2 linked regions of the Drosophila melanogaster genome follow. The protein of the gene in region 2 binds, or shares a complex with, the protein of the main gene of each other region. Each region holds a gene or a part of one and is shown on either strand. Other genes may lie near its edges.

Region 1 (4,968 bases), 450 kb from region 2:
AGCGAGGGTGCAATCCTCGGTGAACTCGGTGGCATTCCGAACCACCACTCTCGCCTCGACATGAGTGCACAAACTGTTTTGCTTATATTCGTGCGATTCCCAGCATACAGCTACTGGTGCCGGGATGTTATTGCATAAAAAGTAGTTCGAAGCAGTTGGGAAAATATTTGAAAATGCCTGGGAGATTGAAAACCACAGAGGCTGTTCTGGTGGGGAATGCTCGACTTATCGATTTTAGGAGCAGATGCCAAAGACTCTCGCTTACAATACATTTTTGAGGGCGGTTATCCGCACTCTTACTCTTATTTTTACAACTTAATTAACATTCGTAGAACTGCTATGAAAGAAAGAGCAAAGAACTAAAATACAAGTTAAAGCACATGATGTTGTCTAAATATCCTCAGAGGTAACAAAACTTAACTTGAGGGAATACTTATTATTATTACTTATTATTATTATATCTGAAATAAATTTAGGTACTATTAATGTAAACCAAACACTGAGCAAAGCCGAAACAATCAAGAGCTGTCCCACTAATGGAACGAGCCGAAATGAATTTCTGGCGAATTTGAATTCTAGAAGGCATTTAATTACCATATCCCCAACCCAGCGTCCTGGTAGACAAATGATGCTCTAATGGGATGACCTGGAATCGCGACGAGAGAACCACTCAACCTGCCCGCCGGCTAATGGAGGCCCCGCTCCGTTGCCAACTACATTAAATTGCGATGTCAGATTACGGCGCCTAATAGAACGCAATGATTTCGCATTCCGCCAGACATCTGGCACTTGGCCTCCTGCCACCCGCAATGATGCTCTAATGATGGCTATCATAACATAAATCTTCGCTGGGGCGGGGGAATTTATTTGTCTGTTCATTGCCTGGATTTGGAAAGCAATTAGGAAGGGCAGGTGAGACGATGTTGCGAGGAGCAGATGGCGTTGAGTTGTCACTTTATTTGCTTACATAATGGACGTCCAAGAGTCCATTAAAAACTTCTGCACGCTATTTGCTTATCCAGCGCTAATGTTCTGGTACGTATGTTTAGATTGTTTCATACGTCGAGTGGGCACTTGTCGGGAGCCGCTGAAAACCGAACAGGACTAACCAAAAATCCGCCTGAAAGGCTCGTTTTCCAGCCCCATATAGCACAGCCTCTGTTTGTTTTCATTCCGGTCCATAGATCACAGGCCAAAGCTCAAAAATCAACAGCACCAACAAGTTTAGCACCACATTCGAGGGCCCTAAGTATGCTTACACGGACGATGTTTCCGAGTGCGATATTTGGGCCCCGGCTTCTGGGTGTTGCGTTTGATTTAAGGCTTTCAGCAGACATACAATGCAGACTGGGTCCTCGGTCCGGAACTACAAGTGCAAATTGTGTAAATATGCAGCTGTGCCGGCGCACAGTGATGGATTTCAAGTTTCTATGCAACAGTGGGCAAATTATGCACATCATCTACCAACAATCGTCTCCTATATGCGAGTCATAGCAACAGCTAATTGCCTGTTAGTTTCAAATGCACAATTTAGGCTACAAGTCTCTATTAGGATTCTAAGAATTGTATGCACTGATTGTAATCGTATCAAATTACTCCTATTTAGGTACATACAAAACTACTAATGGTCAGCATCTTGACAAAAGATTTTCCCACAGTTGGAAATATTTACGATTTGTGATTCCTCACCTTACGCTTGGAGCAAACTTTTTATGTGGCAATTACGTAGCGAAGTTTGATTGTAGGCGGCCACCACTGAGGCGTGAGCTCAAAAAGGAAATCATCGAGGCAAAAGTGTTCATCCAGCTGACGACGTCGGCAACAGTAAAAACTGTTTCCCCGCGGGGATGAGTTGGGCAGAATCAACTGGTGGGGCGCCATAACGAGTGGCTTAATGAATCTTGCCGAGCATAATCCTCGTTTCTTCGCCCAATTGTTTTCGTTTGCCAGGATGCGCCAGCTGTCCCGGCTAATCAAGTGCACTGCCCAAAGGCGGTGGCCGGGGTGTGGTGGTCTGGAATGGGAGGCGCTAGACGGCAGCACAACTTTATGAATCTACTGCTTTCACAGCTGCTGGGCCGCCGGCGCAGGTGTACAGCTGCTGAAAAATGCTAATTGAACGAGGAGGCGCCCTTTCCATGGTGAGAAGTAGTCAAAAATTAGCATTTGATTTAATAATGCAAGCTGAGGAGCGAGGCAGGGTCGAGATTTGTCAGCTTGGCACTGAATTGGCTGGACTTTCAGCTGAAAAATGAATACGTTTTTAACCCAAAAGGAAAAGGAGGAAAGCTTTTTTTGTTGAATGCCCTAGTAACCGTGAAATCGATTTCATGCGAAAAGGGACTTTTTTTTTTGACTTTTGAGAGGTGGAAACAACTGTTTTATATGAGTTTTGCGCAAATAAAAGTAATGCAACATTGTATAGACTACATCGGGGCTGTAAAGTTGAAACCTAGTTGAATCTATCCACCTAGGCGAACTCACCCGCGTAGATGGCCTCTATGATGATATCCTCCAAGTGGCGGACGTTGTCGATCTCCAGTTCGCTGAGCAGCAGGGCATAGGGAATGCTCTTTGCTTTAATGGCCAGCGAGACGATAGTCAGGTGCTGCAGCTTCTTCTGCATGGCAGGAGTCAGCTCGATGAACTTTTCCGGCTGTGCACGGTATTCCTTGTATGTGCCGTATGCGAATAGGTTCAGGGTCTCGAAGTGCTTGGAGTCCGGACCGTCTTTAAGCTATGTGTGGTTTTGTGGTTGGTAAGTTACTGCCAGAATGTGTTTCATTGATGGACGCACCTGCAAAACGGATGGCTCCGCCAGTAATTCGCCAAAAACAAAGACATTCGGGGCTTCCAGGGCCTGGCGAATCACATCCAGCAAAGCGGCGCCGGTGGATGACTTGGCCAGGACACAGAACTTCTCCAGGAACGTCTCCTTGCTCTTGCTCGGCTCCTCGTTGCCCAGCAGCATGTCCTGCGTCATTTTGATAACTTCAAGTTGGATAATTTGTTTTTAAATTTTGGGATTGTTTTGATTTTTGCAAGCACAGTGCCAGTGTGACCGTTCATCGATGGCCAAATTATATCGACCGAAGTTTATCGAAGTTTCAATTCATTCTATCTTATTAGTGTAATGAGTTCTAACTATTTCTTACTACGCACATGACAGGACATACTTACGATTTAATTATTGTATATCTAGCCATAAAAACAAATTACAGTTTTTATAAAAATATTATTTGTGTTGCCCTATAATAAAATTAGTTTAAATTACAGTGCAGAGTAAATATACTAAATTTGGTACGGTAAACAGAATTAAGGTCACACTATTATGTCTCTTGCACAAGCTGACTGCCATAAAAGTGGGCGCCAAGCTTAAACAATCTGAAGTTGGTCAGGCCCTGTGTGAAAAAGTAAATTAAAAACTTAAGATTTATGCAACCTTAGCCACAGATACTAACCCGTTCATTATGCTTATGATTATTTTATGTTCTTTGGGGATACCTCCTCGTTCGCTACATTGTTTTTTTCTAATAACAGCCTAGCATTTGCACTCACCTCTTGGAAATGTTGGTCATTATGTTAAAGCAGGGCATCCCCATTTTAAAACACTTTTCGCTCCACATTCCATCCGGCGGCACACACAGACGCACCCTAGGGGGCTGTATAAAAAAAGGAGAGAAGAGGGCGGAAACGGCAGGCTGGGCCTAAAAAAATATATTCCTTGAGCTACTTTGGACTGCCAAAACTTTGCGCCAGCCACACTTGCTATTATTGCTGTGGGTAGGGGCGGATATGCGAATACGAGTATAAAAAGGCTAGGGTCAAAGTTGAAAACCCTTTATTGTGTCTGGGGGGTTGACTTCGGCATGGAAGTGGGAGTGAGCGTGATTGGGACCGCCATTCCCTGTATGAGATGCGCCAGCTCATCGATTATGAAAAGTTAACTAAAGGTCAGGGACCCACGGGGATACACACACTCACACACAGGATCTCACAGGAAAAAGGTGAGCCCGAGCCTTAAAGATACTGCGTCTGTTTTAAAATTGCCCACAGCACAGTGTTCAATTTTACAGCATATTTTCCACTTGTATCGCTTTGTTTTCCATACCTCTTGTAATGCCGACACTTCGACAGAAATTGACCGGACTGTTTTGTAATTTTTCCAATTGGATTGGCACGCCTACCGACCACTCTACCCACTCTACCCACCATCCTTCCAAATTTTATGGGATTTTGCCAAATTTGCCAGTACGCAGCCATTACAAAATTGGTTGTGATTTTGATTCTGTTGCGTGCGTTCGGCTGCAGATTCGCTTTTGGCTTCCATCCGGAGCGGCGGATGTGGTTCTTCTCCTGCGGCGACTGCTATCCGAATTGCATCCGGGATTAGTTTGCGTTTGAAACATTTTTGGAATAATGCGAAATCCCGCTGCCTTTACTTCGTTCGCAATTTTGCGGGTTGCGTGCGCAAAGTTGCGCCCATCGAGGATATTCGCTCGCCAACCGACGAAAGCCTGTGGCCATTCTTGCGATGGACCACTAGTGGTCAGCAGGTGGGGATTGGAAATTACTTAGAAGATTGGGCAGAGCGAAAAAAACGTTTTTGGTTTGCAACAGAAGAACACTAAGCTGAAATTAAATGGTAACGTTCAGGTTTCCCATGTTTCGGTATTAATCTATGAACAAATGGAAGTAACGAATACCAACTGAGAAATGGAACATATTATAAAAAAGATATAACATTTTAGGTTTTAAGTTAGTCCAGATGTTTTTGGTGGCATGACCATATACATATATGGTCTCTGGCTGGAATTTCCGCATAGGGTAAGCTATAGTAGACTTTCCGCCTTGCCGCTGATTCTCGCAGTTTTGAAAAGCTCTTTGTCACGGCGGCAAACTTTACCCGCTCTGCTCCGTGTTCTGGTTTTTTGTGGATTTCACTTTGTCATTAATTTGACGCACAAT
Region 2 (4,263 bases):
CTCCTCTATTTATATATCTTTTCAGGACTGTCCCGACGTAGCGCTGGACGCTGTTGTGGGTCTTTGCCAAGGTCTGACGCCAGTGAATCGAGGCGTGGTCGTACGCACATTAGCCCAGATGCAGCTGAATGAGGAGACCTCTAACAGCAACCAGGGATGATTCTACGCTATGTTCTAAGTTCTTTTTAGGCCCTCTATTTCATCCTTCCCGTTCCCGCCCTTCACCACATTTCTCAGTCCCGCTTTGCGCTTGTAAGATATCGCAAGGCGTGCATGATGTGCATTTTGTTTAGTTAAATTTGTTTAAAAGTAATTAGCGTAAATCTAGTTATGTATTGGAGTTGTAGGCATGGGTTAATTTGTTGCCTAAGTGGCCCGATAAACTAGTTGTATCGTGTACATATTTGATTATGTATATCCCCTGAATACAAATCATTCCATTAGTTGTATAAGAACTAAAGTCCTTTGTACACAGAGCCTTTTGAATAATACGAGTTACTGAAAAAATAAATGTATGGTACACTACATTAACAAAACTCGCTGGATTGCAAAAGGGGTTTTTCGTCTTGTTCTGTTTTTCTTTTCTTTTGGTTCCACAGGATCGATAATGTACATAATTTCATTTATTTTTATAATTTTAAAATGAAATCTATCGCAGTCGGGGGTTATATCCTCCGATTCACTGCGTTCCTATATGCCGTTTTTTAATTAAGATGAGTGGGGGGAGATGGGATGGCGAGAGCCTGCTTCAGTTCAGGTTATCCATCCAATCGGGCTCGGCGACACTTATCTTCTCTATAATGGAATTAACCTGATAGCATAGCGACTGGATCTGCCTATCCCACTGAGGCAGTAGTTCCCGATTCTCGAAGTGCACAATGGCCGAGATCTGGTCGATGTGTCCGTTCATGCGACCTTCGGTAATCATCTGAGAGGCAATCTTCTCTGCTTTCACCGCGGGTATGTCCAGCAGAGCGCCTAGCTCCTCAAAAGTTATGTTGTTGTACAGCTTACTAGCCGACAACAGATTGTGCTCGAAAACAGCCCGATCCAAGATCGAGGATCCATCGGAGGTGGCAGCCTTTTGGTGGTCCTGCAGCAGGGCCTCGAACTCCTGTAGCTCGGAGCGCCGAATGATGCGCTCCAAGTACATCTTTTCCAAAATTCCATAGGCCGGCAAGTGCTGACAGCGTTCATCCTTGAACAGAGTGGCCAGCATGCGGGAACGCTGCTGTCCGGCAGAGGCGAGGACTGTGCAGATGAGCGCTTTCTTCAGTGCCGTCATCCTCTCGCCTTGGTCCACGATCTTGCGGTAGGAGAGCTCGTTATATCGCTGGGCGGCCTCGATAAACTTGCGCCTGTAATCCAGGACACGAGCATAACAGACTTTATATAGAACCTAAAAGGTGCGATTTTTAACAGATTACCCATCTAAAATAGCGCTAGGAAGCCATTTACCTGCAACTCCTCGGAATTAGTTTCGGCCTGCAGCAATGATGCCCGGTTGATGAACAGCTCCGCCTGCACCGAATCGTTGTCCTCCAGATAGAGTCGAGCGATCTTTAAGTAGGTGCCCAACTTGCACTCCACGGAGTACTGTTTCTGACCCGTCTCCAGAGGAATGCCAACTAGCACTGTGGCCGCATCGCGCCACTGCTGGTTGCGCTCATAGATGTTGGCCAGGTGGAAACGTATGCCAGCCACTTGCTCTTCGAACGAGATGACGCGCGGATTGACCTTTTCCAGGGTGAAGTGAGAAAGCATCTTGGACAGATCGTCAGGCAACTTGCTCAGCTCGCTGCCCACGTCGTTAAGGATCTGCCGCGAGATCACCAGGCTGACGTGCTCGTTTACAATGGCCTCCACAAAGAGCCGGAGCCCATCGATCAGCTCTTGGCCGGTGTTCGTCAGCACAGTCTTCAGCAGCTGGCGGTACTTGTCCGCCTGGTCCTTGTGCGTGCCAGTGAAGTTGATCAGGCCCATCAGCTGGCTACGCAGAGCTGCCGTCGAGATGCCGTAGTTTGCGGCCATATTCACTTCTATACCCAATTACTTCGCACTAGCTAAAAACAACAACGCAAGCTCATCCCTGTTATCGATAGCTCGCAAATCCGGCCGGGACAGTGCAGGACGCCTAGCTTTTATCTAGCTGGTGTTGGAAAATGTTCGATGGTGATACTCAGCTTACAAATTTAGTTCGCAATTTATATTTTATTTATTATTACCTATCTATCTATGACTTCTTTCCATAGATAGGTTTTGAGTAAAGACCAAACCACATGAAAATGTTGACATAAAAAAATGTATATCTGAGGATAAAATTTAAATATTACATAACATAATATAACATATTTAAAATACTATCTGCAAAGCGCAAGACTCTTACCAAGGCTTACATTTGTTCTACTCGTATTATCTTCCAATAAAATATTTATGGAATAAAATATGCCAATAAAATATTGGCAGTATTTCCTTTCAGCATTCGATTTTTAAAGGAAGGCCTATAATGATTCGGTAAGGTTTAAAATTCACTTAATGCTTACACTTGTACATACTTTCCCAATAAATTATTTAAAATTGGCGCTTCAATCCAAGCTGCAGTCTATCGGTGACTGCATTCTTGAAATATCGATACAAAAATGACAGTCGGTGCGCTGCAGTAAACAGTGAAAAAATATACTTGTGTCGAGTCCAATTGGACTGCGAAAACTGCATTAAACAAAGAGGTCAAAGACAATCTGCAAGTGGTAGTAGCTAGAGAATTACTAGAAACTCGAGATATTCAGTGCAAAGACCAATCCATTCGGATCCTTGTGGAAAAGGGTGGAGGCCAGGCCCACACATACATACACTTTCAGCAGCAGCGCAGCTCGCCGAGTGAAGTGGAAAATGTATCCAAAGGAGTCCAATGGCCGTTTTTGCGAGCAGATATGAACGGAAATTGCCAATTGACGACACCCAGGCGCTGAGCTGCGAGATAACCGCCGTCCAGGAGGTCGCCGGACATACGGTAGCTAGATCGCGAGGGGGCAGAGCTGCTGACCCCAGCGAAAAATCAATAATTGTTGATGATTTCATGCAGGCGGCGAATGTGACTGTGTGTGTGTCTGCTTGCAGGAGTACCTGCTGCGCGTGTGGAGGGGCGCCAGCAACAAGAACTACTGGACCGTTTTGCGCCGCTATAATGACTTCGACCGACTGGACAAGTCTCTCCGCGTCTCCGGCATCGAGCTGCCGCTGCCTCGCAAACGCATCTTTGGTAACATGCGCCCGGAGTTCATAGCTGAACGGAAGCAAGCCCTGCAAGAGTACATAAACGCCGTACTAATGAATCCCATATTGGCATCCTCGCTGCCAGCCAAGCGCTTTGTGGATCCCGAGAGTTACTCGCAGTCCTTTCACGGTGAGTTAATTTGCTAGTGAAGAAGAAGGTCCCCTAATCGATGTCCTCCAATTATCTTCAGACCATGCCGTGCAGAATGCTATGCTCTGCCTGCGCAACGACACTACGTGGTCGCTGGGTGGAAGTATGGGTGCCATAGGCTGGCGCCTCCGGAAGCACTACTTTAAGGTCACTACAAAGCCGCCGGAGAAGAGCAGCAACAAGCAACTGGTTAAGAGCGGTTCACAGACCCATCAGAGCAAACATTTCGCCGCTGGGAGCAGCAATGGCAGCGGTCACTCCATCGACGCCGGAACCTTGGATCCCGGGTCAGAGGTGGTGGCTGAGTGGCTGGAGTACGGACCCGACAAGTTTATCGACGAAAAAGAAATCGGGGGCATAATGAAAAGCCTGATGGGCCTGCAGCATCCGCACATCGAGCCCGTTCTCCTGGCAGCCCACACCGAAAACGGTTGCCTGGTCATAAGAAAGTCAGTAGCTCACGTTGTCTAACTTATACATTATATAACTTAATATATATATCCACTTAGATTCCACAAGCATGGTACTTTAAAGGATGTTTTGTGCATGGCCGCGAATCCAAAGAATACATTTCTTAGCAAGTACGGCAATCCCAAGGGGCGCACTGCGCTTTCAATGAAACAAGTGGCTACATATGGGAAGCAGATTCTAGAGGCCCTAATATTTTTGCACTCGAAGGGATACGCATATGGTAAGATGAATCCCTATTGAAAGCTACTTTTTATTTAATAAATGAAAACATTTTAAGGTCATCTACATTCCGGAAACATAGTGATAGTCGACGATTGTGTTAAGCTACTGGACATCGAGAACTTTTTGCTGGGCGTTCCAGCGTTTTA

What was found. Proteins that work in one complex are often made in the same cells at the same time.
Region 1: CSN4 (region 2) and CSN7 share a complex: the UniProt entries of both Drosophila melanogaster proteins name them as parts of the CSN complex.

Annotation. Positions count from the first base shown.
Region 1 is NT_033778.4:8,419,126-8,424,093, reverse strand, and holds the start of CSN7 (COP9 signalosome subunit 7), read right to left. Parts: upstream 3,062-4,968; 5' UTR 2,984-3,061; coding exon 2,798-2,983; intron 2,738-2,797; coding exon 2,485-2,737; intron 1-2,484. UniProt on the Drosophila melanogaster protein: Component of the COP9 signalosome complex (CSN), a complex involved in various cellular and developmental processes.
Region 2 is NT_033778.4:7,970,384-7,974,646, reverse strand, and holds CSN4 (COP9 signalosome subunit 4), read right to left. Parts: upstream 2,473-4,263; 5' UTR 2,397-2,472; intron 2,310-2,396; 5' UTR 2,226-2,309; intron 2,150-2,225; 5' UTR 2,032-2,149; coding exon 1,459-2,031; intron 1,400-1,458; coding exon 749-1,399; 3' UTR 548-748; downstream 1-547. Other genes in the region: ACC (Acetyl-CoA carboxylase), read left to right, coding at 26-160; CG8726 (uncharacterized protein), read left to right, coding at 2,909-3,010, 3,118-3,403, 3,465-3,873, 3,934-4,115, 4,173-4,263. UniProt on the Drosophila melanogaster protein: Component of the COP9 signalosome complex (CSN), a complex involved in various cellular and developmental processes.